4 linked regions of the Drosophila melanogaster genome follow. The protein of the gene in region 4 binds, or shares a complex with, the protein of the main gene of each other region. Each region holds a gene or a part of one and is shown on either strand. Other genes may lie near its edges.

Evidence for each region.
Region 1: eIF3g1 (region 4) and eIF3l share a complex: the UniProt entries of both Drosophila melanogaster proteins name them as parts of the eukaryotic translation initiation factor 3 (eIF-3) complex.
Region 2: eIF3g1 (region 4) and eIF3d2 share a complex: the UniProt entries of both Drosophila melanogaster proteins name them as parts of the eukaryotic translation initiation factor 3 (eIF-3) complex.
Region 3: eIF3g1 (region 4) and eIF3i share a complex: the UniProt entries of both Drosophila melanogaster proteins name them as parts of the eukaryotic translation initiation factor 3 (eIF-3) complex.

Annotation. Positions count from the first base shown.
Region 1 is NT_037436.4:12,139,303-12,148,079, reverse strand, and holds eIF3l (eukaryotic translation initiation factor 3 subunit l), read left to right. Parts: upstream 1-1,982; 5' UTR 1,983-2,091; coding exon 2,092-2,124; intron 2,125-2,829; coding exon 2,830-3,308; intron 3,309-3,362; coding exon 3,363-4,335; intron 4,336-4,394; coding exon 4,395-4,529; 3' UTR 4,530-4,634; downstream 4,635-8,777. Other genes in the region: Nrx-IV (neurexin IV), read right to left, coding at 1,120-1,225; RhoGAP68F (Rho GTPase activating protein at 68F), read right to left, coding at 5,252-6,287, 6,351-6,546, 6,604-6,639, 6,703-6,828, 7,053-7,079, 7,952-7,988. UniProt on the Drosophila melanogaster protein: Component of the eukaryotic translation initiation factor 3 (eIF-3) complex, which is involved in protein synthesis of a specialized repertoire of mRNAs and, together with other initiation factors, stimulates binding of mRNA and methionyl-tRNAi to the 40S ribosome.
Region 2 is NT_033777.3:12,188,560-12,196,815, reverse strand, and holds eIF3d2 (eukaryotic translation initiation factor 3 subunit d2), read left to right. Parts: upstream 1-1,804; 5' UTR 1,805-1,863; coding exon 1,864-2,856; intron 2,857-2,933; coding exon 2,934-3,596; 3' UTR 3,597-4,113; downstream 4,114-8,256. Other genes in the region: CG43450 (uncharacterized protein), read right to left, coding at 1,329-1,475. UniProt on the Drosophila melanogaster protein: mRNA cap-binding component of the eukaryotic translation initiation factor 3 (eIF-3) complex, which is involved in protein synthesis of a specialized repertoire of mRNAs and, together with other initiation factors, stimulates binding of mRNA and methionyl-tRNAi to the 40S ribosome.
Region 3 is NT_033779.5:4,964,432-4,971,867, forward strand, and holds eIF3i (eukaryotic translation initiation factor 3 subunit i), read right to left. Parts: upstream 3,345-7,436; 5' UTR 3,263-3,344; coding exon 3,260-3,262; intron 3,083-3,259; coding exon 2,593-3,082; intron 2,538-2,592; coding exon 2,050-2,537; 3' UTR 1,936-2,049; downstream 1-1,935. Other genes in the region: CG34124 (uncharacterized protein), read left to right, coding at 1-200, 257-844; CG34125 (uncharacterized protein), read left to right, coding at 1,305-1,391, 1,451-1,843; Scox (synthesis of cytochrome c oxidase), read right to left, coding at 3,576-3,937, 4,001-4,394; Polr1C (RNA polymerase I and III subunit C), read left to right, coding at 4,654-4,793, 4,854-5,715; l(2)05714 (lethal (2) 05714), read right to left, coding at 5,781-6,353, 6,623-6,865; CG14043 (uncharacterized protein), read left to right, coding at 7,381-7,436. UniProt on the Drosophila melanogaster protein: Component of the eukaryotic translation initiation factor 3 (eIF-3) complex, which is involved in protein synthesis of a specialized repertoire of mRNAs and, together with other initiation factors, stimulates binding of mRNA and methionyl-tRNAi to the 40S ribosome.
Region 4 is NC_004354.4:2,607,506-2,614,511, reverse strand, and holds eIF3g1 (eukaryotic translation initiation factor 3 subunit g1), read left to right. Parts: upstream 1-4,175; 5' UTR 4,176-4,266; intron 4,267-4,329; coding exon 4,330-5,139; 3' UTR 5,140-5,265; downstream 5,266-7,006. Other genes in the region: Smyd3 (SET and MYND domain containing, class 3), read left to right, coding at 5,845-6,041, 6,100-6,341, 6,409-6,542, 6,788-7,006. UniProt on the Drosophila melanogaster protein: RNA-binding component of the eukaryotic translation initiation factor 3 (eIF-3) complex, which is involved in protein synthesis of a specialized repertoire of mRNAs and, together with other initiation factors, stimulates binding of mRNA and methionyl-tRNAi to the 40S ribosome.

The sequences.
Region 1 (8,777 bases), on a different chromosome or scaffold from region 4:
AAGAAATTGTTTACAATGGGTGCAGCAGTAGCTCCTCCTAGGCAAACAGCACACTGGCATTTTCTTAGCGGAGTGGGGGAAAACAACCCTTGCGAGGTCATTCGGAGTTCGTGGGCACTTTAAGCTGACTTTGAGTCTTGGGTGGAGTGGTACAAATCAACCTGATAAGCTCGAAAGGAAACCGAGGAAACACGCATGACAATCTTCTGGTAAATAACACAGGAACATATGTACATACATATATAGCCAGTTTGAACTACTTTTTGCTACATAATTGCCCAATGGTGATTAGAAAGAAAACGAAATACATAGAATTTGGCTAATGTTCTAAATGAAACAAATATGACGAGGTCTGAAAGGCCATTTCCGTCCATCTGGGGGAAACTCGAAGTGCGAATGATGCTATTTTCGAGGCAATAAGAACCGAAATAAATTATGGAAATCGACCAAAGTCTGGGAGGATATATGTCGGCTGTCTGCTTTCGACGCTTCAAGGCAAATTAATTGCGCGGCATTGTTTATTTTTAGTCATAAAAATGTTTGCATATCATCGATAGATTGTTTATTTTTCAAGATATGTGGAAATTTGTGGGGAAAAGCGCTTAAGTCTGTTGACATATGGAAGGATAATGATAAAATCACCTGTTTCACACAGCATCATCAATCAGCAGATGCTTCTTATTTGCCGCATGCGCATTTGAAAAGCCGGAAAAGAAGGCAAGCACAACTGGGGATGCAACCGGCAAAATTTTCGAATTGCTCCCCCGGGAAGCTTCATAAAAGTCCGGAAATCAAGAATCTAAAACCCCAATGCCTTTGCTCAAAACGAACGAGTAAAAACGGGCGTTGTTAAGCGGCATTTTTGTTTTGCCACCGCTATTCGTAAGCAACCGTTTGATCGCTCTCCCGTTCTCACCAAAACTCTCGCGATCGCTAAGAGCGAGTTAAAAAGCGAACAACGGGCCAAAGGAAAATGGAAGAGCGAGTCTTCAGCTTTGGGGAACACGCCCAAAAAGTTGGCTTACAAACAATCGACGTTTTATGTCACATATTGCTGGGAAAATCGAGCCGAAAGGATCTGAATTCCTGGGTTAGTCAATGGGTATCACTGGTTTTTACCTGCTTGCACCGATTTAATGCCATTATTGACCAGCAATAGGAGGCATAACAATCCAAACTGAAGCGAGGAAAATGCTGCTTTCGTATTGCTCCTGGGCGGCCTCATCTTGGAGGCTGTTAATTAAACACTATCGCTTGGTAGATTTATAAACACATCTATATTCGATTTCCGAAGAAGTTTAACACCAAAATGCACTTTTCCGCTGGAAAAACCACCGTGAAAAGCTGATGATTTGTGGCAACGCGTCCGCGGTGTTAAAAACGTTGGACTGCACTTTACGCTCCGCTTTAAATCGATTTTGAATTTATGTAATTTATCCACTGGGTGTACGGCTCCAGCAGATCACGCCCACTTCGGAAGAGTTTCGTTTGAATTAAGAAAATAATTATCGCAACGCGGATGACACACGAACAGAATGTCTCGCTGCCAGTGTGACCGTGACTCAAACGTGGCAAGATACCGAGGGAGTCACCAACTGGGTGCTTGTCGCGTGAGCTAAGCTATCGTGTGATTAAGTATATGAAGTATTTACAAATTATTTCAACTGCTACTATGAAATTAAATTTGGTCACTAATAATAGCTTTCCGTTAACATTTATATTAATTCGTGATAGAAATTTTTTTGCATAGTTTTAAAGCCATGTAATATCATTGCAAAATGAATGATATAAGCAAAGTATACAAATGTAATGGCAAATAAGTCAAATCCCCTCTAAAATATTTTTTAAAAATCTAGTTTTCTTATCTATCCAGAAATTTGAAATAAAATACATATTTTACAAAAAATTATTTCGAATACCAAATCGATAGGGGCGTAAAACATCGATAGTCGTAGTAGTATCATTATCGATAGTTGGTCACACTGTTTATCCCTCTTTTCGCCAAAAATTTGTTGGCGTGTTGTCAATTTCCTAAGCATTTGATCGGTTTTTTCGTTTTGTGTGTAACCCGGAGAGGATAAAACAGCGACAATGTACGGTGGAGACGAATACGCAACCAACTCGGTGAGTGCAGCCAGCGAGGAATGATTCATTCTCGGGAAACCAATCCCCGGACTCCGCCGACAACATAACCCATCTTTTGTTGCCCTCGCACAAATACAAAACTCACTGGGATGATTTTAAAGCCGTTTTACGACTTGGCATAGTTGGTGTTTAGATCATCATAGGTCATTAAGCACTGATAATCCGTGGGCCACTCCTTTGACACGTTCCTTTGCTATTTGGAAACGAATCCTGTAGTCCGGGGGACACCCCGGCGCCATGTGGTATATTATTGGTATCGGTGTACATTATTAATAAGTCATAATACCTTCTACATTTTTGATTTGCGTGCAATTTTAGATGGTGTGTACACACCTTTAAAGAACACATGAATATATTCTAGCTTACTCCTTAGAGATGCCGTGGAAAGAAGTACCCCTCTAAGGTTCATCCACTTCGTAATCGTAGGAATGCGCTCGTTTTGTTAGCTACAGCTCGCTTAGCTAAATGGTCGGGATTAAACTCGGAACAGTTGTAGCATAGTCTCTCGAATTCCTATTTACAAAGTCGAAAGTCTTCAATAGTCTAGGCAAGCTGTTAATTTATAAAATCGATCCACTTTAAGCGATTAACTCTATTTAATAGCTCATTTATGCAGAGAGTCGTAGATCAGTATTTCCTGCAATTCTGCTTCCAAAAAGTCATTGGGTTTTTTACATATTACAGGATTACTACGATGACTACGCTCATACCGGAGACCCGCAACTGGACATGGAGTACGAGAGGAACTACTACGCCGCCCGGATGCCGGACAACGTCAAGTACTTCCTCATAAACTTCTGCCAGGCGATCAAAGAGGGCAACTTGTACGACATCCAAAACATGTACGAGAACACGTTCCCGCAGATCAGCGACCACCACTTCGACAAGACTGCTTGGCCCGAGGAGCAGGAGGTGGCTGCTATTGTAGACAACGACAAGGTCTTCCTGATCTTATACAAGGAGTTGTACTATCGCCACATCCACGCCCGCATCCCCGGTGGTCCCAAGTTGGAGCAGAGGATCAACTCGTTCTTCAACTACTGCGACTTCTTCAACCTGATCATCTCGGCCCAGAACCCAGTGATGCTGGAGCTGCCCGACATCTGGCTGTGGGAGTTGGTGGATGAGTTCGTGTATCAGTTCCAGAACTTCGCGCAGTATCGGTATGTAGCTGTTTCCGCAGCCTGTGGAACTCGATTAACCTTCCATTTTTGCAGCGCCCGCCTTACGGAGAAATCGCAGGATGAGATCCAGCAGCTGTGCGTGAACCACAGCAACGAGTGGAGCATTCTCTGCATCCTCAACGTTCTGCATTCCCTTGTGGACATCTCGAACATCAAGAAGCAGCTGGAGGCCATCTCTCAAGGTGTTGATCCCCAAACCGTGGCCGGTGACTTCGGCAAACTGTCCTTCTACAAGATGCTGGGATACTTCTCCCTTGTCGGACTGCTGCGCGTTCATTCGCTGCTGGGTGACTACTACCAGGCCATCAAGGTGCTGGAGCCCATTGAGATCCACAAGAAGTCCGCCTATTCGCACATCCCCGCCTGCCAAATCTCGACGTCGTACTACGTGGGCTTCGCCTACATGATGATGCGCCGCTACGCTGATGCCATCCGCACCTTTTCTGATATCCTCCTGTACATTCAGCGTACCAAGCAGCTGTACAGCACGCGTTCATACCAAAACGATCAAATCAACAAGCAGGCCGAGCAGATGTACCATCTTTTGGCCATCTGCCTGGTACTCCATCCCCAGTGCATCGACGAGTCCATCCAGCAGGTGCTCAGGGAAAAGAACTACCACGACGCCATGTTTAAGATGCAGTGCGGTGATCTGGAGGTCTTCAAGTCCTTCTTTGTCTTCGCCTGCCCACGTTTCGTGAGCCCCTGCCCGCCAGCTGTAGACGCACCCATGGACGACTACGTCAAGGACCCCATGGAACACCAGTTGCAGGTTTTCATGGATGAGGTGCGCCAACAGAAGGATCTGCCCACAACGCGCTCGTATCTAAAGCTGTACACCACCCTGCCGCTGACCAAACTGGCATCTTTCATCGATCCCAACGCCAGCGAGGATGACGTGTCGAAGCTGCTGATTCGCCTGCTTTGCTTCAAGCACAAAATGCGCAACCTAGTGTGGAGCAAGGGACCCAGCGGCCTGGAAGGCACATTCAAGTCTGGCTCCGAGGTGAGATTAATATAGACAAATTCTGATGGCAAATATAATAATATACATTAATATTCTAGTTGGACTTCTACATCGACGACGACATGATCCACATAGCCGACACCAAGGTTTCACATCGGTATGGCGACTTCTTTGTGCGTAAAATTCTTAAGTTCAACGATCTGAATCGCAAATTGAAGAACATCAACATTTAAGCCGACTCCTTGTGACCCTTAATGATAAATTTAATATTCCATACTGGACCGATTTGTTTCGATATCAATAAAAATCGCTTGCGATCTTGCGCAAGTTTGGTCCTCAAAATGTGTCTTGAGTATTTAAATAATTTAAAATAATTATCTAATTTTTAATAAGAATCCAAGTTGTTTTAACACTTGCTTTATTTTTAACAATACCGTTATTTTATAAAAATTGTTTGTATGACTATAAGGAAATTCAAGACTACACAGTACGATTTTTGAGTTCGCCACAACTCCACTTGTGCTCGGCATGTGCCTTCAGCAACGCAACCAAGATTCGTTTTCGGTTATGGGGGAATGTGCGTTGAATTAATACGTAGTATATAATAATAACATCTCATATCAAATTTCTCTCCTGTTCGTCGCATAGCGAACACGAGCAAATTTCTTTGGTAAATCAATCGTATTAAGCGCTTGTTGGGGGTAAATAATTGTGATTTTCGGGGGGGTTGGACAGTTGGCGTGGAGTTGGGGCTACAAGCAGTTCCACACACATACACACAGTTTAAAATTCAACTTAGGATTACAGTACACTTTATACACGACATTGCCTTCTGTTCTCTAGTTTCTGTTGCGTTTTTGTGTGCTCTCTCTTTAGCTAACCATTGGTTCACTTAGGACTAACATTAAAATCAAACAATTTACAATTACGGACTTGTTGGTGGCCGGGCCAGTTGTTAGTCCACGGACACTGTGCGCTGATTGACGTCGATCAAGTAGATGTCCTTGTGATTCTGCAGCACAAAGTCGACGAAAGCATTGATGGGAGCGATCTCCTCCAGGGAGGTACTGGTGCTGCGCGACCACAGGAAATTCGGACCGAACACGATGGCCAGGTTGGAGGAGGTCATCTTGTTCAGATCCTCGCAGTCCATCACCCTGACCAGGAACTCAACAATGTACTTGAACAGTTCATAGTTCTCCTCTGGCAGTTTTTCGCGTATCAGTTGCGTCACGTTCCTCGAACGCTCTTCCTTGGGCCAGTCTAGAAAACCGGTCACATCCTCGTACAGCTCGAAGGTGAGCAGCGGCTCGGCGAGATCGCGCAGGAAACTCTTCAGCAGGCCGGCTATCACGTGGACATTAACGCTCTTCAGATCCACATCCTCGCCGCGGTTGACGCGCTCCTTGAGCGCCATGATCTCCGAGTGATTGCCCGATCGACGGAATATGCCCTCCGTATCGATCACGCCCGTTATGGACAGCGAGTCCACGCACTTGCGCACAATTGGCGGAATGGAGTTTAAGCACGGACTGTTCATCACAATGAATTTCAGGGGCACACCAAATTGATGCGTCGTCGCCATTTTGTGCTGCTGCTGCCGGGATGCATTTATATTGCTGCTGGGCGGCGGTGTCGATGGCTTCCGGCTGGGGTTCAGTTTGTCGTCCAGGTCGCAGATGTTGTCCGGCAACTTCAGCTTGTTCAGGCCGAGCGCCTGGCGCAACTCGTCCAAGCTGGAGATGTAGACTAGCTTCTTGCGGAACTTGTCGCTAATGAACGGGCTAAAGAAGTTCCAAATGACCCGTATGAACCACGTCGGATGAACCACATACAACGTCTTCAGATTCTTGCGGAAGTTGCGATCGAGCTCCTTGTACGAATTCCACAGGAACTGTGCGGATGGTTTGTTGTCCTCCTTGAGGCCTTGATGGAAGTAAACCAAAATGTAGTCGTTCTCCACAAAAGGTTCGATCTCCTTGATGATTTCCCTGATAGACAAATGGAAATAGATTAATGATTGAACAAAAAATGTACTCGAATATGAATCCTACCGCACAAATCCTTCCAGTTGGGATTTTTCGGGAAAGCGGGATGCATAAATGCCAAAGATGTGGCGACCCTGCTTATCGGTTCCCAGGAAATCGCATTTGTTTCTGGGAGTCTGAAAGTTTTCAGACTGCTCCCTGAGTTGGTCCTCGAAGTCGTCCTCCAGCGGATTTACATCTTCCTCGGGCTCAAGTTCTGGATCTAGGCGTAATGCGAAACGTTATTCATTGGCCAGGAGAAGTAGATTCCGCCACTTACCTTCGGCCAGAACGAAATCACCGACCATAACATCTTCTGGGAAAAATCGAAGAATTAGTTTGACTATGATTTTGTAGATTCTTTAAATATTCAATTTACTTTCAAGCGGAGATGGGGCCAGCAGCTCGGTATCATCAAACTCTAGCTTCGGCTCGAAGTCGTGCAGATCGGAGAGACTGGGTTGGGGCTCATCCGAGTTATCGACGATCGGATTGATGGCGGGACCTTGGGGTGCGAGAGGAAGGCATTTATAAATCTCGTAGGTTTCCCTGGCGCGGACTTGTATTCCAAAAACGTAATCTTACAAGTAATGCTTTCAGTTAAGTATTTTGACGGCCTGAGGCAACAAGTTTAGTTCGGATTGAGTTTGAGTAAGTGAATAGACATGAATCAGAGAAATTTCATTTGTTAAGTACATTGGCATCTGATTGTATAATCAACAGTCTTACGGTTTCGATATAATTGGCAGACGATTACTGAACAGAACAGAACAGAGACGATTAGGAAACTCTAAGCTAGGGCGATTAGACTATAGACTATGAAGTAAGGCTATAAGGGCTAGGGCAAACACATACGATCACAAAACACATCGGGTAACCAAACATTGGCAACAACACAGCTAGCGAAAAGTAGTTAACAAATAGGATCCACAACAAACCAAGCAAACAAACCACATTGGATAGTTTTAAAATGCAAGTTATGTATGTACAGGAGGAGACGGTAAGCTGCCCACATAGGCTGGATAATGCAGTTTGAAATGGGGTTAGTAGCGCAACTTGATACCAAAAACAAAGAACTTGGTTAGGGGGCGGCGGTTGGGGGTTAGTCAAGGCGGGGCGGGGCGGGGCACAAAATTAGTCGTAATTACTGGCTTTAACTGTTAGTTCTCAAACGAGGGCACTTCCCCCCTCAAAGAAACTACGATACGGCAATGAAAACAACGAAATAAAGCAGCGCAAAGAAATGACTCCCAAAACTTGAAACACAGATTGGAGGTGAGGTATTGTAGAAAACCTGGCCTCATATTTTTAGGCCCGTTTTTATAATCTTCATGGTGGGCTCAAAGTTAAAAGAGAATGATGGGAAAATGGGTTTCCATATGGTGTACCCACAATTAGTTACTTTATATTTAGGCAATCAAACAGATAATTCTTTTACAATTACGTCTTTCATTAGATTAGGTAGTTAGTATTAACGAAGTTCTTTATTTTGGGAACTATTTCTGAACGCTCAAATAAGGCAAATCACTGGACAATGGCAATGCTAAGCAGTTACAGAACCAAAGATCAAAACTAGATATATATTCGAATCGAAAAGCATGACTTGGCCGTTCGGCCGGCGGACTTACCTGGTAATCTCGGCGCGAAACGCGAATGGGCGTCCATGGCGGTGGAGATGGGAGTGGATGCGGATTCAGGTGCTATCCGTTCGATGTGATTGGATTACTCGCGGTGACGCAGGACGTGGCTCAGTCAGTCGTTGGGCTCGATTATTGGCATGTAGAATGTATGCGGCTGAAATGTGAGAATAAATTAGCCAAAAGCAGCAGTTGCCAGTACTCTATCGATGACGTCATTAGCAAGCTATGTAGTTTTCTTGGCTGTTTGGGTTGCTTGTTCGATGGTTATTTCTTGGTATTGGATATAGTACAGGTTGTATGGCACGGCTGATTCACATTCATTTACATCAATGATTTTGCTCGAAGTCTTAGTGCTAAGTTGGCCCTGAAAGACGCCCACCGCCTCCATTTCTAATGTTCAAACATGCATACATACAGTGGGGACATTTAAAGTGGCCATGACTGCGGTCTCAAGACAAGTGAATTGTTTTTCGAAGAGATAACACAAAAACACAGAGGCTGCTTATCGCAATTTCGACAAAAAGCTTCACAAAAGCACATAGAAAGGCACAATTTTAAGTGAAACGTAGTTTGCTTCCTTCGTTTCTGCCAAAAATGGTTATATATTGTCGCGATAATTTCTTGTGATAACTTGAGTATATAAAAGAACGGAAGTTCTTTTTTTTTGAGCGTCCTAACTAGGGAGGGTGCACTGTACATACAGCTTGTATGACTTTATTTTAAATACGTGATTGGATTGTAAATGGGAAATAAATTAATAATTTTCAAGCGTAAACTGAGATTAGTACACATCCTTTTTGACACCACTGTTTCA
Region 2 (8,256 bases), on a different chromosome or scaffold from region 4:
ACTAGTAGTAGTTTCTGTTGTTGTTGTCGTTCTTGTTGTTCTTGTTGCTTTTGTTCGCTGGGTAAGTACTTACTTATGTGCCAGGGCATTATTCTTGGCTGTGTTCCTTTCACCAAGCCGCTACCGCTTTTTCCTACAAGACCGGCAGTGGCAGAAGAAAAGCTTCAGCGGCAGGAGCGATTGCAGATGAGCTGGAGATGAGAGGGTAAATCCGGAGGTTGGAAAGCGGAAGGCGGATGGGGATGGAGAAACCGCAGCGGTGACGTGGCAATGCAGCTGCATAATGTGGCATGCGGTTTGCATTAAAAATGATATTGCAACACGAGCCGCACATCTGCAGCTGTGTGCAGTTAGGCGCCGCCTGCAGTCACTGACAGCCGCATGGCAATTATAATCCACACACACATACACTCACTCAGACGCACACTCATCCACGGCTTATGGCTACACTGAAATCAATTCAATGGTAAAATAGGAATTATTTCAGTCAAAATAAGTTCCCATTGTTATTGCTCCACAGAACCCATTATTATATTCTTGGTATGCATTCTTGGTCTTCTATTCTTACATTTGACATTATCTCTTCATATTCTCGCAGTGTATCAACAGAGAAGTGCGAGGGAATCTGGAGCCGGGCCATGTAAGCAGCAGCTGCCAGTGACATACACATCAACATGACACCCTGTCGCTTGACAAAGCTTAGCTCAGGATCTGGGTGCTGGAAGAGGGGCGGAGGCACCGCACTCCCACTGTCATCCCGCTCGCACCCATATCATTTTCCACACATTCAGGCACATTCACACGCTCGACATGTTGCTTTTTGGGTATGAGCCGGAGTGCAGGATGTCCGCTTCCTTTTTCGCCGCCTCACACGTTGTTATCTAACAAGCTTTTTATGTGATTACCTTTTGCCTTCTGTTAGTTTTACTATAATTTGGCCTTTACGCTTAACGAGATTGTTGTAAGGTGCTCCCAGCCAAGAATAAGGAAACCGAACCGGAACACAGTGAGGACTGAGCCAAGTTGACCAGATCCAGCACACAGGACACTCGTCCCATTGTAGTGCACTCCGCTGTTGTTCCTTTGCTTTCCTGATACTTGGGTCAGAACAATGGTGCTGGAGTTGGAGTCATATGAATGGAGTCATGTCGATGTGAGCTTAGATGCGTCGTCAAGTGATAATCCCGTCACAGTACCCCGCTTCCTGTACCATTTCCACAGCTCAACAAACATTTATTTGTGCGCTTAGTGAGGGTTTTTTATAAAAGATAATAAGAAACAAGAATTTGTCGGCTGGAAGGGGATCCCCGCGCCCATCCTGGATCAGCTCACCATGCGGAGGATGAGAATAATCGTGGCCAATGAGAGCAGCACGACGTTGACGGAGAACCGAAAGACGAACAGGCAATTACACATTTCTTCATTGTGGTTGCGGTGGTGTTTAATTGGGGGCAGGGCGTCCTCCTAAGATTCATTCTCCAAACGTCTTACTTCTCACTTTGTGTAGTTTATAGGGTTTCGGTGTGACTAGAAATACAAATAAGACTGAGCTTTTATTGTGAGGAATTGGTATCTTTTGATTTCTCACAATAGGCTTCAATCTACTTACTATAGGCTTTTGAAGAAATCTTTTTAGTTGTCTATCAAAAATTATTTAAAGATTGGATATTCGGTTATTTCCTTAATGGATAAAACCGCCTTTTTCATATTATAACATTATCCAAACGTAGGGCTTGGAAAATTTTCCCAAGCTGTCAAGCCGGCCATACGAAATCAGCTCAGTGTAATTTGTACCTCGACAAAACCGGATCACATAAATGTAAATACTTGCTCTTGGTTATTTAAACATCTTTCGGCGTGATTATGTCCAACTACGCACCCTTTATCAAGCCCTATGTGGAGTACAACGAGCACGGCTGGGGTCCTTGCGAGGTACCCGAATTGGATGTGCCCTACCAGCCGTTCTGCAAAAGTGATCGCCTGGGCAAGATCTGCGACTGGACTGCGATGGTGCCCGAGAAGAAGTTCCCCAGTAAATACGCCTCGACCTTTGGCAACAACAGTCAGTACGCATACTTCTACGAGGACGATGACTCCACCTTCCATTTGGTGGACACCACTGGATCGAAGGCCACCAAGCCCTATCAGCGGGGACGCTATAGACCCAATATGCGCAACAATGTGAGGAGCAGGGGTCGCACGGGGCGTGGCACTCCGAATATAGCAAGTCTCGGGGGATCCACGGCTGGAGGCGCAACTGCCAGTACCACCAAGTACGGAAAGGGTCGCAATACACGCAACACGCAGAATATGGGTCGCAGATTCGGTCGCAATGCTCCCACCAGAATCCGCGAGAGCTCAGTGATGGTGCAATCGGATTGGGTTTCGATCGAGGAGATTGATTTTCCACGCCTTCTCAAGCTGGCACTTCCCAATATTAAAGATGGTAAGGACATTGCCACCTGCGGATGGCTGGAATTTTATGATAAGTTATACGATCGAGTCAACTTACGCAATGAAAAACCATTGCAAAAGATGGATCGTGTTGTGCACACCGTGACGACCACGGATGATCCGGTTATTCGTCGTCTTTCGAGGACCATGGGCAATGTCTTTGCCACCGACGAAATCTTGTCCACCATAATGTGCTGCACACGCTCCAATTACTCTTGGGATGTGGTAGTCGAGAAATTGGGCACTAAGGTGTTCTTAGATAAGAGATATAATGATCAATTTGATTTGCTGACTGTCAACGAGACTTCAGTAGAACCTCCGATGGATGAGGAGGGTTCCATCAATTCGGCACATAGCTTGGCAATGGAGGCCACTCTAATTAATCACAACTTTAGCCAGCAGGTAGGTTTACAGTAGGTTTCAATTTATGTTATTTGTTATTGTACGTTTTTAAATCTTATGTTATTTATTTTTAAAAGGTTCTTCGCATTGGCGACCAAGAGCCACGTTTCATGTTTGAGGAGCCCAATCCGTTCGAGGAGCCAGGCGTGGATCTTGCCTCCATTGGCTATCGCTACCGTCAGTGGGATCTGGGCAACGATGTGGTGCTGATTGCTCGCTGCAAGCACAATGGGGTTATCCAAGGACCCAATGGGGACGTGCAGTTCCTCTCGATCAAGGCGCTGAATGAATGGGACTCCAAGGTGACCAACAGTGTGGAGTGGCGCCAGAAGTTGGACACCCAGCGCGGTGCAGTCTTGGCCTCCGAGTTGCGCAACAATGCTTGTAAGCTAGCTCGATGGACCGTTGAGGCTGTGCTGGCTGGTTCCGATCAACTGAAGTTAGGCTATGTGTCCAGGATGAATCCGCGTGATCACCTGCGTCACGTGATCCTTGGCACACAGCAATTCAAGCCGCAGGAGTTCGCCACCCAAATCAACCTGAACATGGACAATGCCTGGGGAGTATTGCGTTGCCTAATTGACCTTGTGATGAGGCAACCGGATGGAAAGTATCTGATCATGAAGGATCCCAACAAGCCGATGATCCGTCTGTATGACGTTCCGGAAAACGCCTTCGACTCCGACGGCGATGAGGAGGAGGAGTCCAGCGATCCCTTGAGTAACTCCAACGATAACTAACGCCCTCACGAATTTATTCAACTAATAGTTCTCCGAACAAGGGGATCCGTCGACGGACGAGACAAGCCGACACATGCTGACAGATGCGCAGTGAACACAAATGCAATTTAAATTGAGTTTTTGACCAAACACAACATATGAACGGAGCCATCACTTGACATGTCAGTGAACAACGGACCGGGTGACCGGGTGCAGTCACAGTTATTTTGAGGATAACATGGCCACATCAATCACTGCGGTTCCAAGAAATACAAAATGAAACCCGGCTAAATAAATATGCATTGTGCAGAACATCCCCCGCCATTACCGACTGACAATCACAATAATTGCGGGGGAGTGGAACTGGGGCTGAAATGGGTGAAGGGCTGTTTGGGTGACAAACCTCAGGATCAATAAATCACCGAACACGGCATCAATCAATGCAAATTCTGATGCTGCTGTGGTGCTTGGCGTGCGACAATTTAAGCAAAATGTTTTCGTATTCAACAGCATTTAATTAAATTCATATATGTGCTCGAATTTCATATGCATCCTGCCTTTTTTGTTATTTGGCAATTCAATTTGGGCAGTCAGTGAGCACAAAAGTGCAGAAATTATTCCCCAACGGAAATGCAAATCGCTCAACTAAATTACCAAAATGTTTTGCGCATTTTTGTTTTTGTTTCTCCGTCCGCCAATTTCTTTTTGTTCAGCGCCAAATTGAATTTAGACCTATTCAATTTGCATGGATAGGCTTGCACTCCCTTTCTTCCCCAGACAGGATGAGCAAATGATGATGCCTGGGTGTGAAATAAGTGTGTGAAAATATTTAGGGAATTTACGCAAATGAAAATTGAAACCGATTAATTTTAATTCCCTGCCTGCGGCAAATTTGATTGATAAAGTCGGTCCATTATGTGGCAGTGCACAGATTCACAATGCAGCACATACATATGTATATGTGTGCACATCAAGTATACGCACAGTTGGCCGGAAAGGCACTTGATCTTGCCAGTAAGCAGCAGTGAAACACCAAAGTGTTATTCAATTAAAACATTTTGTTTGCTAAATCAACATGTGTGCCTGTGTGTGTGCCTGCAGGACCAACTTACGAAATGACTATTGCGGACTGGTTTTTTAAAGCGTTTGCCGCAGAAAAGTTGGCTCCGGCTGGTTAGCTGCTCGAGTGGCTTCAGCTACCATGTACCACCAACTACGGAGTACAGACTACCGACTACCAGCTGGCAACTACCGGCTTTAGCTACCAGCTTTAGCCTTAGCTGTAGCTGCAGTTGTAGCTTCGGCTTCTGGCCAGGACTGGCGTGGCATTTCAAGGTCTGCGCTTGGCTAACCACGCCGTTGAAAGGCGTTTAACAAACTGGCAGGCCGGGTTGGCCAGGGCACTTGCCAGCGGCAACAACTCCTAGCCCAACTCAAGTGGGGCCTTAACGCAAAACTTTGTACATTTTATCGCATATGCAGGGCTGCGGGCCATTCCGGGGTAACGGAGAACACAGACCGGAGAGCCCAGAACACAGGGTGTGGGTTAGTGGGCTGAGGTATGGGTTTAGATGGCCAAGGCATTTGCATATGCAACCACAAACACCGCCCGAGTGAAAAGTTAAGCGTTGAATGAGGGCGACAAATTGCAAATTAAACTCTTTTGCATTTTCCCAGCATCACATCACATGAGGAATAGTTGTAAATAAAACTGCCACACCCGCGTCAACTTTTTCAGCTCCTGCGACCTCCAACTAAATTCAATTTCATTTCAATTTGCCTCACTCGCTTTTTTCGCTGAAATGGGGTTATGGTAGCTGGAGCCTCGGAAGCCGTCTGAGCCGCATTAGGAAACCAAATGCGACTTTAAGTTGCCACCAAAGCATTTGGCCCCAGGCCCTCTAGCCGTTTAAGCAACGGATTTGCCATCTTTGGACTTTGGTTGGGTTCACCAGGATCAGGGGGCTCCGGGTGCCAGGGGTCACGCATTTCGGGGGGCGGACTGAAGAGTTTAGGAATGTTTGTAAGCCAAAAGTTTTGTGTTCTTTTGGCCAGCTCGGATTTCGCCTCCGCCTTTTGGCATATTTAATTTGCCGACTTGTGCCAGTTTTTCTTTTCTTGTCTTTCCTTCTCGAAAGATCCTGTCAATTTTGTGACATTTGCTTTGGGCTCCATTCACCGTTAACTTTTCAAATGCAGCTCATTTAAATATCATTTGTCTGGGTAAAAGTTTGCCACGAGAAGTCAGTTAATCGAGGATGAAGCCCACGGCTATTAATATAGGTATGGATTGAAGTGAAAAGGGAGACCCAAAGCAATCAAATATATCGTAAAATCAAAATATTACTTATATATCAAATCGGAGATTCTTTAATATTCCCTTCTTTTTACAGGACGAACCTGATAGCCCTGCTACTCTTTTCCAGATGAAAATTCGTAAAACTTTCTCACTCAAGTTACCCCAATATAATATATTTAAATTACCCCTTCTGCATTTTAGACGGTCGACTAGACACAGACGAGAGCACACTGTTGTTAGCCACAGAATAAGAAATGTTATCAATGCCGCCAACACCTCTGCAAAAAACAAAAGCAAAAGCACCGAATACAAATTTCAGCGTCACCCAACAAATCTGCAACAATAGTGATAATTTTTTCCACTTCTTCAGCTCGTTTCGCAACGCAAAACTTTGTGCAAACATTTTGCCAAACTTATTCTTTTTTTGCCGCGTTTTGAGCTAAAACTTTTTTGTTGGCGAGAGCGAGAATAATGGCTAAAATTATGTAGATGCAATGAGGGGTAGTAACTGGAGCACGGGAATATTCACATAATTCGATGAAATGAATTGGTTGCAGTTGCAATCCCAGCTGCGAGTTAACTGACAATCCGCCCAATGATTGCATATAAAAAGTTCTCAGATGCCGCAAAATTATCGCCGCAGCCGGTCCAGGCCGGAAATCATTTTCCTCTTCCGGCCAGGCAAGGTTCAGTTGCCGATTCTCATCTCAGCTCAAAGAAAAAACGAATATTTTCCACGTCTCACTCGGAGCCTTAGCTCCTGACCGACTGCGCCTGTGGAGCAACTTCTGTTTTACACATTTCTAATTCGTTTCCTGCCTGCAAACGAATGGCTGGCAAAAGTCTGTCTGCTGAAAGTCTGCCTGGATAGGGTCACAAATCTGGACTGAAATTCATTGAATACTTGTCAAAAATATCCCAGTAGCCAACGTAATTGGATTCTTTGTTGGCGCTGTCACCCAAGTTGGGCACATGTGCACTTTTGCACTCCTGAATATATTTCGGCAGATTACAAATTCGAATGACTCGCATATATGCATCTTACCTTGTATTCTGATTTAATAGTGGCTTATGAATCACTGAATAATTTAAAGATGTGTTCATGTCTCCCAGAACCAGGGCCTTGTTTTCATTCTCTTGCAGAAGGGATATACTTACAGTTTTTGTGTTCAGAAAGACATTCTGTAGGGATTGAAGAAGGGACTTCGGCTATAATATAACCCTTGTTCTAAAGGCCCTTTATAAAGCCCTTTTTTACAGTGGATTTTTCACTATGCAAATCACTGAAAAGATCAAAAACGATGTGCGATCATTCACCTGATTATTCCAGGCAGGTCTCACTTAAATGGTAACTTCGAGAGGAAACTGTGATGTGGTTTAACTTTCGCCCCGGAAAGTGGGGCCAAAAGTAAATCAACAAGTTGGATAAACTTGACTGTCAGACACCGATGGAATATTTTAAGCACGACGAGCTCTTAACTGCTTTAAGTTTTCAACATAAATATCAAGTATACGCACCGGATACCCACATACCCACACGCACGCACACGGCATAAGAATAAGGTGAATGCGAAACCCAAATCCAGCTGCCGAGGGAAAAAAACATAAGAATGAAAGCAAACGAAACAGACAACAAAGTTGGTTTACTTTTGGGTTCGTTTCAGTTCTTTTGTACGTTTCGCCACAAGCATGAAAATCGATTACCTGTTTCAAATGGAAAATATTCTTATATATATACATTTATCTTTGAGTGGGTAAGCTGATTGTCTAACTCCCCCGCTGTTCCGTTGGCCAACTGGCCCGCAGCTCGTCAGACTTTGCATAAACGAATTGTAAACACAGCAAGTGGTAGGTGGGTGGAATTGAAATTATGCCAAATGCGTTTTCCAGTTTCTAATTTCGGCATCGATCCTCGATTGCGAACGAAGGAGTCGTCCGGCTCTCGGACACCAGCACACATCGAGTGGCAATTTGCAATGAATTTGCTCAATTGCACCAGCTTGTGATTCTGCTCGTTGTTCTGGTCTGGTCCTGCTGATGGTGCAACAAGAGGAGCTCCTTGTGTCCATTTGCTTGCCTGCTTTGTTTTTTATTTTATTTGCAACAAATTGGGTTTTATCATCTGCCCAATGTCGATGTTGAGGGACAGCTGATGCAGCGCCGATGACAACCATGTCCTTCTGTGCGAGCTACCCAAGATTCGCACAAAATTAAATTCCGTTTCGACCCTCCAGTAAACTGGCATTGTTGGATGGGCATCATCGAATTTTTCATCACCCATCCCAATGCCGATGTCCAAACAAAAAACAAAAAGGGAAACTGGGAGGATGAGGTCCTGGGCCCTCTTTCTTGGCCCTTGGCTCAGTTGCACATACTCAATCA
Region 3 (7,436 bases), on a different chromosome or scaffold from region 4:
CGATGGTGTGCCCGGCCATCCTCAATGTCGACGCCTACATGCTGCCACCCATGCCCGATGAGTTTATCATGGATCGCGTACAGACCATTGTCCAGAAGAGTTTCAATCGCTTCTTTGGGAAGAGCACCACTCCGGAGAATGTGCGCAAGTTTGCCCAGCGCTCCTCGCTTTATTTGTGCCAGGCCGCCTACAGTTTCCAGGTGATTAGATCTAAAAGCAATTAGTTTACTCAATCTTACCAAAGGTTATATTTTAGGGTCGGTACACGGATCGCATAGCCGAGTGCATAACGGAGCATCTGCAGACGTTTGTGCCGAAGAAGTACTTCATCCACATCAGCAACGAGGAGCTTCGCAAGCTATTCAACGAGGTGGTGGCTGTGTTCGACTACGAACGCTCTGATGTGAACACCGAGGAGCTGATATCCGGAATTTTCGATCACGCCAAGGACTCGCTGTGCGCTCATGTCCATATGGGCGACTCCGAGGTTGTGAACCGCACCCACTTCATCGTCGCTCACATGTTCAAAGAGCTGATTGAGGTGCTGCCGCTGGAGGAGTTCCAGGCGGACGAGACCCTGCGCATGATTGTGGACGTGCTGGAGCGTGAACCGATGGTGGATCCTCGAGCCATAGCCGTGGAGCAGCTGATCGATAGCACGCTCCAGCACGCCCGGGAGAATCTGATCGATGGGATTACAGCGGTGCCCATTCGCAGCCTGGGAAGCTCCATTCAAAGAGACCTGATAAAAAGGCGGCAATATAAGCAGCCCAGTTGCGAGTCGCCCATGTCGGTGAGGATCGCCACGAAAAAGCCAGGAACCAGCAGTGGGCTTCCTTTCTAGACATCCATATCAAATACTTTGGTAGAAATTCAAAAATTAATTATTTTTGGAACTTGACAACATCGATTTACAAAAAGTAACTCAATACATATTTTTTTGTAGACTTCACTTTGAATTTCGAAAAAGGTGACCCAAACATGTATATTTTACCATAGAACATCTTTAAATCTGATTTTGAATTATTTGTAAAAGCGTGTGTTTCAATAACTGGCGTCCTAATAGCACAACTCAAAAATTTACTAATAAATTGTGAGGGACATATTATTCCCATTTTTTATTTATTTTAAAACGCCAAAGAAATAAAATAGCAATTCGCGTGCAGAAAATAAATTTCGAATAAATCCAGATCTGACGGGAAAACTTTACGACATCACTAATCTCGATGAGCTGACAACCCTGTTTGTGACTCAGAGAAACTGCAAGTAAACAAAGTGCAACTTCAAATTACAGACGAGATAAGATGTCGAAGCCATCAAAAGCAGGTCCACCAAGCGAGGGAAGTGCTCCCGCTTACGACTATCGCCATTCCGGCGATGACATGGCCATGGTAATAAGTTAATTTGATTATCAAATACCAGTCGCCATCTAAAGTTTTGCGACTTCTAGCGAGCTCCTCCGCCAACGTATGAAGAAAGCCAGCGAAACGGCGGCACCGGTGCTGGTGCCTATGGCTATCCACAAGGAGGAGGTGCTCCGCCCAGCCAGAATCAGTATTACGGCATGATCAGCCACCAGCAACAGCAGATGCCCTTCAGCGGGCAGCCCAACTACGGTATGACACATGGCAGTGGCTTCGGACTTGCTGGTCCCAGTACGTCGGCAGGAGCAGCTGCAGCACAGGTCCTCCACTTGGACTCACGGGCCGAGGTGAGGACAAATTCCAACGGAAATGTCGTCATTCCGCCTCCTCCGCCGGGCTGCCTGCCCACACCGGCTCAGTGGGCGGCCATGCAGGGTCAGCCTGTGGTTCTCAAGCAAAAAAAGCGTTCCTTTTTTTAGGTTACACATGGCACACCATTTACTCGAATATAATCATGTTGTACCTCTTTCCACTCCTTTGATGTTATAAAAATAAACGACGCGATCCGTTTCGTTTCGTCCTCGCGTATATTTGAAAGTTCCCTAAGCAAACGAACATGTCGCCGGTGAAATGGTTATGTTAAGTCCACCGGCTCTGATCCTACTAAATCACTACTGGATACAAACTACTCGAAGATGTTCTCAAAGTATGTACTATCGAATGTCTGGACACGCACGAAACCATCTTCTCCGCCCGAGGCGTAACTCTTGCCGTCCGGATGGAAGGCCAAACTGTTGATGGGTCCGAAATGGCCCTTGAGTCGGGCGAACTCCTCCTCGTATATCAGGTGGAAGAAGCGCGAGTCAAACTTGCCAGCCTTCGTAGACGTAGTGGTCACCTCCATGGCATCTTGACCGCCGCCCAGCACGACATGATCCATGATTGGGCTGATGGCCGCCGAGTTTACTGGACGCTCCGTTTTGTAGGTCTTGAGGCACATCAGGGACTCCGAATCGAACAATTTGGCGGTGGTGTCCTTGGAGGCGGTCACAAACATGGTGCCATCCTTGCTCAACTGCATGTCGTTGATGCCAGCGCTGTGATCCGTGCCAGAGTCAACCACCTTTTGACCCTTACGGATGTCCCAGATGGCAATGTTGCCATTATCGTGACCTGGAAATACGGGTTTTAAACGGTTTTCATAATAGATTATCGGGTAAACACCAACCTGTGATGATGGTCTCATCCAGAGGACCCCACAACATCGACGTAATTTTGGACTCGGTCATCGGGATGCGGAGTGTGGGCTCCTGCTCCGACAACGAGGAATCGGCGTTGCGGACATCGATGAGGAACAGTTCACAGCTCTGTCCCATCGCTTTGTCCGTTGAGTAGGCTGCCTGGTTGCCCGAGAAGCTGAAGTTGCTGGTGCGCACCGATGACTTGGTCGGAATGGAGGCGATAACGGTGCCGTACTCGACGTCCCAGATCTTAGCGGTCATATCACCGGCGCCGGTGATGAGCTTACGGCTCTCCCAGTCCACATCCAGGCACCAGACCGCACCCTGGTGACCATCGTAGGTGCCCAAACGTTCTCCGTTCAGCGAGTACCACACATTGGGCTTCTGATCCTTGGAGCAGGAGAAGAGCAGGTCGCCCTCGCGGTTGTACTTGATTTGCGTTATGGAACGCTCGTGGCCCTGAAGCATCAACGGACGCTATAAAAGACAGAATAATACGAATTTTTAGCAACAATTTAGGCCGCTTTTAAGGTTATGTTTGGTCCGGAATTTCACACGACTTTCACACTTTGCAAATAGTTGTAATTTCGGGTAAATTCTAAAGAAACCCATCCGGAATAATGCAAACTGTGTAGTCATTGACCAGGCACGCACCATTTTGTATTATATTGTTATTTGTTGCGAGAAAACGAATATTTTTGCAACAACATCCACGCAGCACTACACGCCAAAAGAGCAGTGTGACCGTGGCCTAGTCAAAATCTCACTTCGATATACCAGGGGGATCTAAAAAATACCGTTAATCAAGTTTATTTTGAACAACCAGAAATTTTTACAATCTAGAACTTAAGGTATAGCCAATATAAACGAAAATTTGGATTTAAAACTTGATATACATCAAGTAAAAACCATATTTTATGCCATACATTAAGTAAATACAACGAAACAACATTTGCCTAGCTTAGCCAGCCTAGCTGAACCATCCCTTTTTGTTCATTGAATTCCACTTGGCTATGTTCACCAAAATGGATGCCACACACTGGTCCTTGTCCCGATTTTGGCCGTAGTAATCGACAAACTCGCCATCGGGATTGACCAGGTACATGATGATGGTGTGATCCACAATATAATCGTTGTCCTCGTCCCGCGGTCCAGCGCTGAAATAAACCCTGAAGGCCTTGCACACTTTGCGGATTTGTTCGACGGTTCCCGTGAGTCCCAGCAGTTTGGGGGAGAACTCTTTTACGTATTTGGCCACCACCTCTTTGGAGTCACGTTCTGGGTCAACGGTGATAAAGATGGGCTGCACTGCTGGCGTTTGCGGGGACTTTTCTGTGAAGGTTTGAGAAACATGGTTTTTTTTGGGTTTGGAAGAAATAGTCAGGCTCTACTTACCAACTTCATCGACGACGGCGGCCATCTTCTCTAGCTCATCGGGACAAATATCCGGGCAGTGGGTGAAGCCAAAATAGATGAGCAGCCACTTGCCTAAGAAGTCCTCCGATTTGCGAACAGCTCCCTGCGAATCAACTAATTCCCAACTGCCGCCGATGGCTGCTTTTCCCAATTGCCGCTGACGCTCCTTCATTCTCGCCTCATCCTTCTCGCTCTTCACGTACAGCATGAAGCCCACTCCTCCGGCTCCAAGGGCTCCAATGACGGCCAGACTTCTCCAAGAGATCGGACCCTTGCCTTTAGTGGAATCTGCGGGAGCGGCATAATGACGAATTGCGGGCTGTTGTGCCCAGCGACGACAGCTGCCCACTAAGCGTTGCAGGGAGCGGGACATCTTACGCCCGGTTTCAGAAATTTGAAGGCTTTACGTAAATCTTCTGGAGAAATAAAAATATCGCCGGTGTCCTGCTGCTTCTTCCTATTCAGCCAGTCACGGCGAAACAGCATTTATTTAGTACATAAAGTATATTTATTTAGTATATTAGTTAGTTTGTTAGTTAGTTTGGTATATTTTGGTATTAGAAGGCGGTCTTATTGATTCCAACACGTGCGGTTCAATTTTGTTAAATTATTTAATAAAAACACCGGGGCAAATGGCAAGCAAAAATCGCAAGGAGCCGCTTCTGTACATGGAGGAGTATCGGGTGAAGCAGGATCCGCAGGACTATGGACTGGCGGACGATGTATTTTCCGTTCAGGCTTTCAAGGAAAAGCTGCACATCAAAATCGTCAGGTAAATCTCAATAGAAATTAGAATCTTACGAGTCGATTAACAATTGGTGTTCACTTCTAGAAACGACGAAGACGGCCTGGAGTTCGATCTGATTGGCGTGTATCCCGCCATTGCAAATGCCTTCCGTCGCCTGATGCTCAGCGATGTGCCCAGCATGGCCATCGAAAAGGTGTACATATACAACAACACCTCGATCATCCAGGACGAGGTACTTGCCCATCGAATGGGTCTACTTCCGTTGCGGGCTGATCCCCGTCTATTCGCATACCGCACCGAGGAAAGCACTGAGGCGGGGACCGAGCAGGATACGCTTGAATTTGAGCTGAAGGTGAAGTGCTCGCGGCGACGGGATGCTGGAAAAGATCAGTCCAACTTCGATGACATTTACAAAAACCACAAAGTGTACTCGGGTCATCTGAAGTGGCTGCCCAAAGGAAAGCAGGCGCAGATATACAGCGAGAGTGCTGTGAACTGCATTCACGATGACATACTGATTGCCCAATTGCGTCCGGGTCACGAGTTGGATCTGCGCCTGGTGGCGGTTAAGGGACTTGGACGGGATCACGCGAAATTCTCGCCGGTGGCCACGGCCACCTACCGACTGCTGCCCATGATTAAGCTGAACCGCGAGGTGACCGGTAAGGATGCGTACCTATTACAGAACTGTTTCTCACCAGGAGTAATTGGCATTGACGAGAATGAAACTGCCTATGTAAAGGATGCACGCTACGACACGTGCAGCCGAAATGTGTATCGCTATCCCCAGCTAAACGACGCTGTGACTTTGGCCCGTATCCGAGATCACTACATTTTCTCCGTGGAATCAGTCGGCGCACTGAAGCCCGATGTCATCTTCCTGGAGGCGGTCAAGGTATTGAAGAGAAAGTGCCGGGCGCTAATTGACGAAATTGAGGCAGAATAGTTATTTATTTAGTTGTTAAAGAAATTATATTATGTACATAAGACAGCTTGATATAAATTGTAAGCCTACGAAGATCGTGCTTGCTCTCTCTTGCGCTTGAGCACCTTCAGGCGAAATTCCGTTAGGACCACCTGCAGACGCTCCTGGCACATTAGTGCGTCCTCCAGGTCCATGTTGTTCAGCTGCAGAGCCAAACTCTTGCCAAACAAGTCAAATTCACTAATAATGGTGTCTTCCGTCATCGCGTCGACTTGGTATTCGTTATTAATCTCCGTATCTTCCGGCTTGAGCTGTATCATCTCTTCCTCGTAGACCACCTCTTGGTCCTGGAGATCTGTTTCATTCTGTTGTACTTCGAGGAACTCGTTCTCAACCTCAAATTCTTGCTCTTGATAGGGCTGATCTGTTCTGAGTAAATCATCCAGGATTGAGTCGTTCGAGGCGATTTCGTCCTCCTCCGTCTCCTCCTCCATGCTCTCCACCTTCGTGTCGTTCTTGATCTTTGGCTGCATTTTGCTCCTTGGCTTTTGCCTTGGATAGGTCTTTGATTTGGCTTTGGGCTTTGCTTTGGGTGAAATTATGGAGGCCTCCAAGTCTGGGTCATGCTCATCTTTGACAAGTTCACCCTTAATCATATTCTGTAGGTATAAATACGGAGTTGTTAATTTTATGTAAATTAGTAATGAGATGAGAATTTTTTTTTTGGAGCGATAAGTTGTGCATCGCATAGAGGGAGCTACTGGTTTGGTTAACCATTGCACAAGAAGTAGTCAATGGAATAGTTAACGAAAAGTATGGCGAAAACTCACACAAAAATCGTGTTTGAAATTTAGTTTGGATCGCAAAATATTTGAATCAATAATGGACACGGGTCATTCCTATTGCTTATGCACAAACCCAATCCCACCTTGGCAAGAATGTTGTGGTACTTGAAACTTTCCTGGTGTTTCCGCGTTGCGAGGTGCTGCTTGATGGACGCTAGTCTGGCGAGGACATTGATGTCGCAGATCTTGCAGTGCGCCGAGTAACCGTCATTACTAGACGCCAGCCAGCTGGAGAGCTCCGGATATTTCTCCCACTCTGTGCGATAGCGTTGGTGGTACAGTCGCTTCACCTTCTTGTCCTCATCCGTCTTGTAACCCTTCAGCATTGTGCCCGCTTTCGGATGAAGCTTGTCTGATTTGTGGAAAAGTATTCTTTGAAAGATGAGCGCCAAAAGCAGTCTTTAATAGCTGATGGTGGTAAATATTTTGGTATATTCCAAAAATTTGCGACGCGAAAAAAATCTGAAAGTCGATGCGGTGTGACTGTAATCGAATACGTTATAATACCAGCAATTAATTCCAGGGTTGCGACATAGAGGTTGCTGCGCAACGGTCACACTAAGCTGTTTTGTTTATATAAACATTTTATGCCTTCAAGTTTATATTAGAGGCGTTTATGGTTGTGTTATGTACTTTTTGAAAATACCTTACTTGTACATAGTTCAAATTAATTTAGTTTGAGATTTTAAATAAAATATTCTTTCATGGTTTGGGTCTCAGGTAAAGTTTAAGCAGTCACAATACGGCCACACTACACACTCATAGAGAAAAAATATAGTAAATAAAAAGGCTTTGCCGAATTCAGGATAGCTTTTGCCTGCACCGTGGGTGCTCAGCCAACATGGTCATTCCAAAGGAGATCCTAAGCGACTTCAAGGAGCTATACGAGAAGGCCAA
Region 4 (7,006 bases):
GGTGTTGATTGACACAGGCTCTAATAAAAATTACATCCAGCCCAATTTGGTGACGAACGCGATACCAAATAACAAGCCTTACATAGCTGATACTCCAGGCGGTGATGTAAAAATATCGCATTACAAAAGAGCAAGCCTTTTCGATTTCGAAATAAAATTTTTTTTGTTACCAACGCTGAAGACTTTTGACGCCATACTTGGCAAAGACACAATGAAGGGAATGGGAGCGCAAATTGATTTGAAGAACCTAACCATGACACTGGAAAACGGGAAAAGAGTTGTTCTCAAAGAAAAACAGTTCGAGGCTGTTAGCACAATTAGTCCGAGAATAAAACACTTAGAGGTGGAACAGAGAATGATATTGAATAAAATAATTGATTCGTATCCAGGTCTCTTCGCAGACCCGAATCAAAAACTAACCTACACAACAAGTGTAAGGGCAGCAATCCGAACTATATCGGATACGCCAATATACTCAAAATTCTATCAGTACCCAATGTCTCTTAAAGACGAGGTACACAAACAAATTTCCGAACTTTTACACGATGGAATCATTCGACCCTCAAGGTCACCTTACAATTCACCAGTGTGGATTGTACCAAAAAAACTCGACTCCTCTGGCAAGAAAAAATACAGGGTGGTAATTGACTATCGAAAACTTAACATGGTAACGGTAGCGGACAGATACCCTATCCCTGACATTAATGAAGTGTTGGCCCAATTGGGAGACAACAAGATTTTCTCAGTGCTCGATCTGAAAAGTGGGTTTCATCAGATTCTTTTAAAGGAATCTGATATCGAAAAGACCGCCTTCTCCATCAATAATGGAAAATATGAGTTTACACGACTCCCATTCGGTCTGAAAAATGCACCGTCAATTTTCCAGCGCGCACTGGACGATATTCTTCACGAACATATCGGTAAGATATGTTTCATTTATATTGACGACATCATCATCTTTAGTAAAGATGATGAAACACATTACCAGAACCTTGACACTATTTTCAGAACTCTTCAGCAAGCCAACATGAAATGTCAGTTGGATAAATGCGAGTTCATGAAGAGAAAAGTGGAGTTCCTAGGCTTCGTCGTGTCCGACAAGGGCATTGAAACCAGCCCAACCAAGGTACAGGCAATCTCAGACTTTCCAATTCCAAGGACACTCAAAGAACTGAGATCATTCTTGGGATTATCCGGATATTACAGGCGATTTATTCCTAACTACGCTAAGTTAGCAAAACCACTTAGCTCGCTTTTGAGAGGGGAGGATGGTCGAATTTCCAGGACATTATCGTCAAAAAAATCCGTCTCCCTTAATCGCGAAGCAATAGAAGCCTTCAAGAAATTGAAGAGCAGCTTGGTTTCTCCAGACGTAATACTCCACTACCCGGACTTTAAGAAAGAATTTCACCTAACAACGGATGCTTCCAATTTCGCAGTAGGTGCTGTTCTTTCACAAGAGAACAGACCCATCTCATTTTTATCGAGAACACTCTCGAAGGCGGAAGAAAATTATGCCACGAATGAGAAGGAAATGTTAGCCATTATCTGGGCTCTAAAAAAGCTAAAAATTTACCTTTACGGTAAAGCAAAGGTGAAAATCTTTACTGACCATCAGCCTTTGACCCATTCTCTCAGTAGTTGGAATGGAAATGCGAGGATTAAGAGATGGAAAGCATACCTTGAGGAATATGACTACGAAATTTTCTACAAGCCAGGCAGAGAAAATACTGTAGCCGACGCTCTGTCCAGAGGACCGACAGTCGAACAAATTAACACAGTAGCCTCAACAATGCACAGCTCTGACAGTTCGAGCCATGGGCTGATACCTAGCGTTGAAGCCCCGATAAACGCATTCAAGAATCAAATTTTCTTCAGGGAGTCCGAGTCAGAGAACTACTCATTTAGCATTCCATTCCCGACATTTCAAAGGCATTTAGTAGATCGCAACTTGTTCACACCCGATAGTCTCTTGTCAGATTTGAAAGAATATCTTAACCCATCCGTGATTAATGGAATTTTCACATCCGAGGATGTAATGGGGAAAATTCAAATTCTCTACCCCATCCATTTTCAGGGTTTCAAGATTAGATTCTGCCAAAGCAAAGTCAAAGACCTTGTTAACGAAGCCGAACAAGAGGAAGAAATACTTAGGACACATAACAGAGCACACAGAAATGCTGTGGAAAATAAAGCTCAGTTGTCCGAAAGAGTATACTTTCCTAAAATGAGGAAAAAAGTTTCGGCTATCGTGAATCAGTGTTTGGTGTGTAAGACTGCTAAATATGACAGACATCCCACGCATCCAGAAATAAGACAAACTCCCTTGCCAGAATACCCCGGACAAATTATTCATATTGACATCTACTCGACAGAACGACATCTGGTGCTCACGGCGATTGATAAATTTTCCAAACTGGCCATGGGAAGAGTTATCAAATCCAAAGCTGTAGAAGACATTAGGAAAGCCCTAAGAGATATCGTGTTTTATTATGGAGTGCCTAAATTAATAGTAATGGACAATGAAAAGTCCCTCAACTCAGCCTCTATCAAATTCATGTTGACAGACCAGCTGGGTATTGAGCTCTACAAAGCACCTCCGTATAAGAGTACAGTAAATGGACAGATAGAAAGATTTCACTCCACACTCTCTGAAATAATGAGATGTTTGAAAGGAGATGGAACACATAGGGGCTTCGAGGAACTTCTCGATAGGGCCATCTATGAATATAACTACACTGTCCATTCTGTCACAAAAAAACGACCTCTAGAGGTGTTCTTCGGCAGGATAGCTACCGTAGCTCCAGAAAAATATGAACAAGCTAGACTGGACAATATAGACCGACTTAGGCAAAAACAGGAAACCGACATAGAATACCACAACCGGACAAGAAAGCCCATAAAAACCTATATCAAAGGGCAAGAAATTTTCGTTAGGGTTAATACAAGATTAGGTTCTAAGTTATCAAGTAGATTTAGGAAGGAACTAGTTAAGGAAGACCGAAGTACCACAATATTAACAGAATCAGGGAAATTAGTACATAAAAGTAACATAAGATCATGATTGCTTCAGAATAATTACTGTGGCCACATCGATAGACAAGTAGAACATAGAAACATTAAACATACTGATTAACGTAACCACGAGAATTAAATTTGAAACGATTCGACTTTGACAGACGAGTTGGCCATAGGTTTGCAGAATTAGATTGGGCTCGTGAAAGAAGAGATTGCGTTGTGAATGCGTTTCTGCGGAGCGAGTTTAAATTGAATGAGACCAGTAGCCTACTTGAAAACAATATACCGATTTCTGCCTTGACGGTCAAATAAATGTTAAAACTTTCACACGTTCTCGCTTTACACAACGGAACTACAATTTGAATGCCATTGAAATCTCCATATTGAATCAGTTAATTCCTTATTTCTTATATTTTAAAACATGATCAGTAAAGGAAACTAATAATAATAAATAAATAATAATTTAATTTGAATAATAATAAAATTTACCAATTAAAGACGAAATGTACGGAATCAATGCCTTCTGCAAAGGTTCCAATGGTCTAAAAATATGTAGATATAAATTCATTAGTAATTTAGTAAAAACCAGAATTTTAATAGAAGCAATCAAGTTGTCAATGCAGAACACATCCGAGTTGCACAAACCTCGAACGCACGCAACAATAAACACCTGGCATTCAAACCATTAATGCTGTGCCCAAACTACCACGAATCACCCCACCAACGATGCGACTCAAAAACATCCCATCCTTATGATGACCGCTCGAGGACAAGCGTCAATTAAGAGGGGAGGAGTTATTGCCCTGCAATTGATTCTCTAACATCTTGTGGTTCCACATAGTCTCCGCTGCCATCAACGCCAACGAACGGTTAAGCGCGACATCGACACTTCTGCGCTGCGCCGCGGCCGACGCCTGCTGCGCCGCTGCCGACGACTTCACTTGATTGCTAGGGACTTAGGGAAACATTTTGTACGCTAGATTTAGTTTCAAATGATAAATTGCAATAAACGGTCGCTTGCGATCTTCAAAATCAAATCGATAACTTATTAACTTATATGTAACGAAATTTCAAATGGTATATTCCAAAAAGTGCAAAGTGGTATTAGCGGTATATTTTTTGGACACACACGGCATATTTTTGTGACCGCGGCAGGGTAACACTCTTTTGTTGCTGATTAAAAATCCGCTTAACTCGTGGCGAAATTTGCATTTACGATTTCGCATACAAATCGCGTTGAAAATCAGAGTGAGTGCACCCCAAGCAAGCGCCCAGTGTAGCCCCACTCACTGCGCCCTCAATTCCTTTCAGATGCCGGGCGTTGAAACGATCAAATCCTCCTGGGCGGACGAGGTGGAGCTCGACTATGGTGGACTACCTCCGACGACGGAGACGGTGGAGAACGGACAGAAGTACGTGACGGAGTACAAGTACAACAAGGACGACAAGAAGACGAAGGTGGTGCGCACGTACAAGATATCCAAGCAGGTGGTGCCCAAGACGGTGGCCAAGCGACGCACCTGGACGAAGTTCGGCGACTCGAAGAACGACAAGCCCGGCCCCAACTCGCAGACGACCATGGTGTCCGAGGAGATCATCATGCAGTTCCTCAACTCCAAGGAGGACGAGAAGGCCAACGATCCGCTGCTAGATCCCACCAAGAATATTGCCAAGTGCCGTATCTGCAACGGTGAGCATTGGTCGGTCAACTGCCCGTACAAGGGCACGGCGATGGACACGAATATGATGGAGAAGAAGGCTTCGGCAGCCGCCGCGGCCGCCGTCGATGCGCCCAAGTCCGGCAAGTATGTGCCGCCGTTCCTCAAGGACAGCCAAAAGGGCGCGCTGGGAATGCGCGGACGCGACGACACGGCCGCCATTAGGATATCGAATCTGTCGGAGTCGATGACCGAGGCGGATCTCGAGGAGCTGGTGAAGAAGATTGGACCGCAGAGCAAGATGTATCTCGCCCGCGACAAGAACACCGGACTCTGCAAGGGATTCGCCTACGTGCACTTCAAGCAGCGCAAGGATGCGGCCGCCGCCATCGAGATCCTCAATGGACACGGCTACGACCACTTGATCCTCAGCGTCGAATGGTCGAAACCCCAGAACAATTAGTTAGTCCCGTTCCCACTACCCGCGTTTACTGCTCATAGGAGTCCGTTCGAGTCGATCACACAATTTGTCCCTATGCTATGCTAAGTTTGCTACAAATAAATCTTAAAACAGCCCCCATGGGCACCGAAAACCAGATGACTATGCTCTGCAAGGATACAATGGCATCTAGAATCGTATATTTTTCATATTTGATATAACTTAATCGCTCTTCTTTAGTTTTGCGGACCAACCAACACAAATGCTTTCGACTTTTGCTCTAATATAGCTTTCTCCCTCGTTTTAAAGGACGCAAGGCCACCAAATCGTAGACACTGGGAACAACATATAAAAGAAATATTTTTTATTTGTTACTTAAAAAACTTGAATATGATTTGTTAAGTGTATTTTTTAACGACATGCAGCTACCCACATATGGTTAACAAGTTAACCTTACGCGGTGCCCACTGTAGAAAGCATGATTCCAGCCGATCTGGCAACGCCATCGTTTGCATGCGAATAAACACCATGGTGTTGTTGTTTTTGTGTTTGCCAGCGATTTGCGTAAATTGTGTTTGTTTTTGTGGCCAAAAATAGAAATCAGATGCCGCAAAATATTCAAAAAGCATTCGAAACAATATTTTTGATCTTCAGGTGTGCGCTCATTTTCAGTCGTCAGTGAGACGGGCCCCCAGGCGAAAGTCTTTGTTGTTGCTCCGTTCGAGCGAAATGGCCACCGCCACCGTTGGTTCATCCAGATCCGCAACCACATCCGCAACCGCATCCGCATGCTCATCCAAATCCAAGAACCTAAAGAATCCGGCGCCGCAAATAAAAAGGGGACAGCGGATCCTCACGGAGAAACCATTCGCCTTCGTCTTGAAATCACAGTACCGCCTGGAGCGGTGCGATAACTGCCTGGAGGCGTAAGTTTCGCCATGTGGCTGCCTTTGTGAGCTATCTAATTTGGGTTCGTCGTTGCAGGACCAAGGTGCTGAAGTGCTCCAACTGCAGGTATGTGTCCTACTGCCACCGCTCATGCCAGATGCAAGCTTGGGGCCAGCACAAGCACGAGTGTCCTTTCCTCAAGAAGGTGCATCCTCGAGTTGTGCCCGATGCTGCCCGAATGCTCTGCCGACTGATCCTGCGCCTGGAGCACGGCGGAGACCTGATCCGCGGCTATTACACCGAGCACGGCTCCCGCAAGTTTCGCGATCTCATGTCCCGTGAGTAAACCAAAGGGCGAACCGCTTTGCATGGTCATTCCTAGCTAATCCACGTTAACGTGCACAGATTACGCCGAAATCAAGAACGATCCCATGCGACTGGAGCACTTGGACTCGCTGCATGCCGTCCTCACCGATATGATGGCCGAGAGTCCCAGCACGGTGCCAAACAAGACGGAACTGATGAGCATCTATGGTCGCGTAAGTGTGCAGGCACCTGTGCGAGCGAGCAGGAGCGGATTGGGCGATTCATCGCACTGGTACTGAATCGAGAAACCAAGACGCTTGCGTATGCAGCCGCTCCTGGTCGCCCAAATTAGATAGCAATCAATGATGTATGCCTGGCGCTCTGCCAGTCAATTGATTATCTAGGAAGGGCTTCGGTTCACATTCCCCGGCGCACAGTTACGCGGGAGCTCATGCTCTTTCTTCTCTGCTCTTTGCAGCTGATCACCAATGGCTTCAATATCTTGGACGCCGAGATGAACTCAATTGCCACGGCCATATATCTGGGCGTCTCGATTACGGACCATAGCTGCCAGCCAAATGCGGTCGCCACCTTCGAGGGCAACGAGCTGCACGTCCACGCGATCGAGGACATGGAATGCCTGGACTGGTCGAAAATCTTCATCAGCTACATCGACCTGCTCAATACGCCGGAGCAG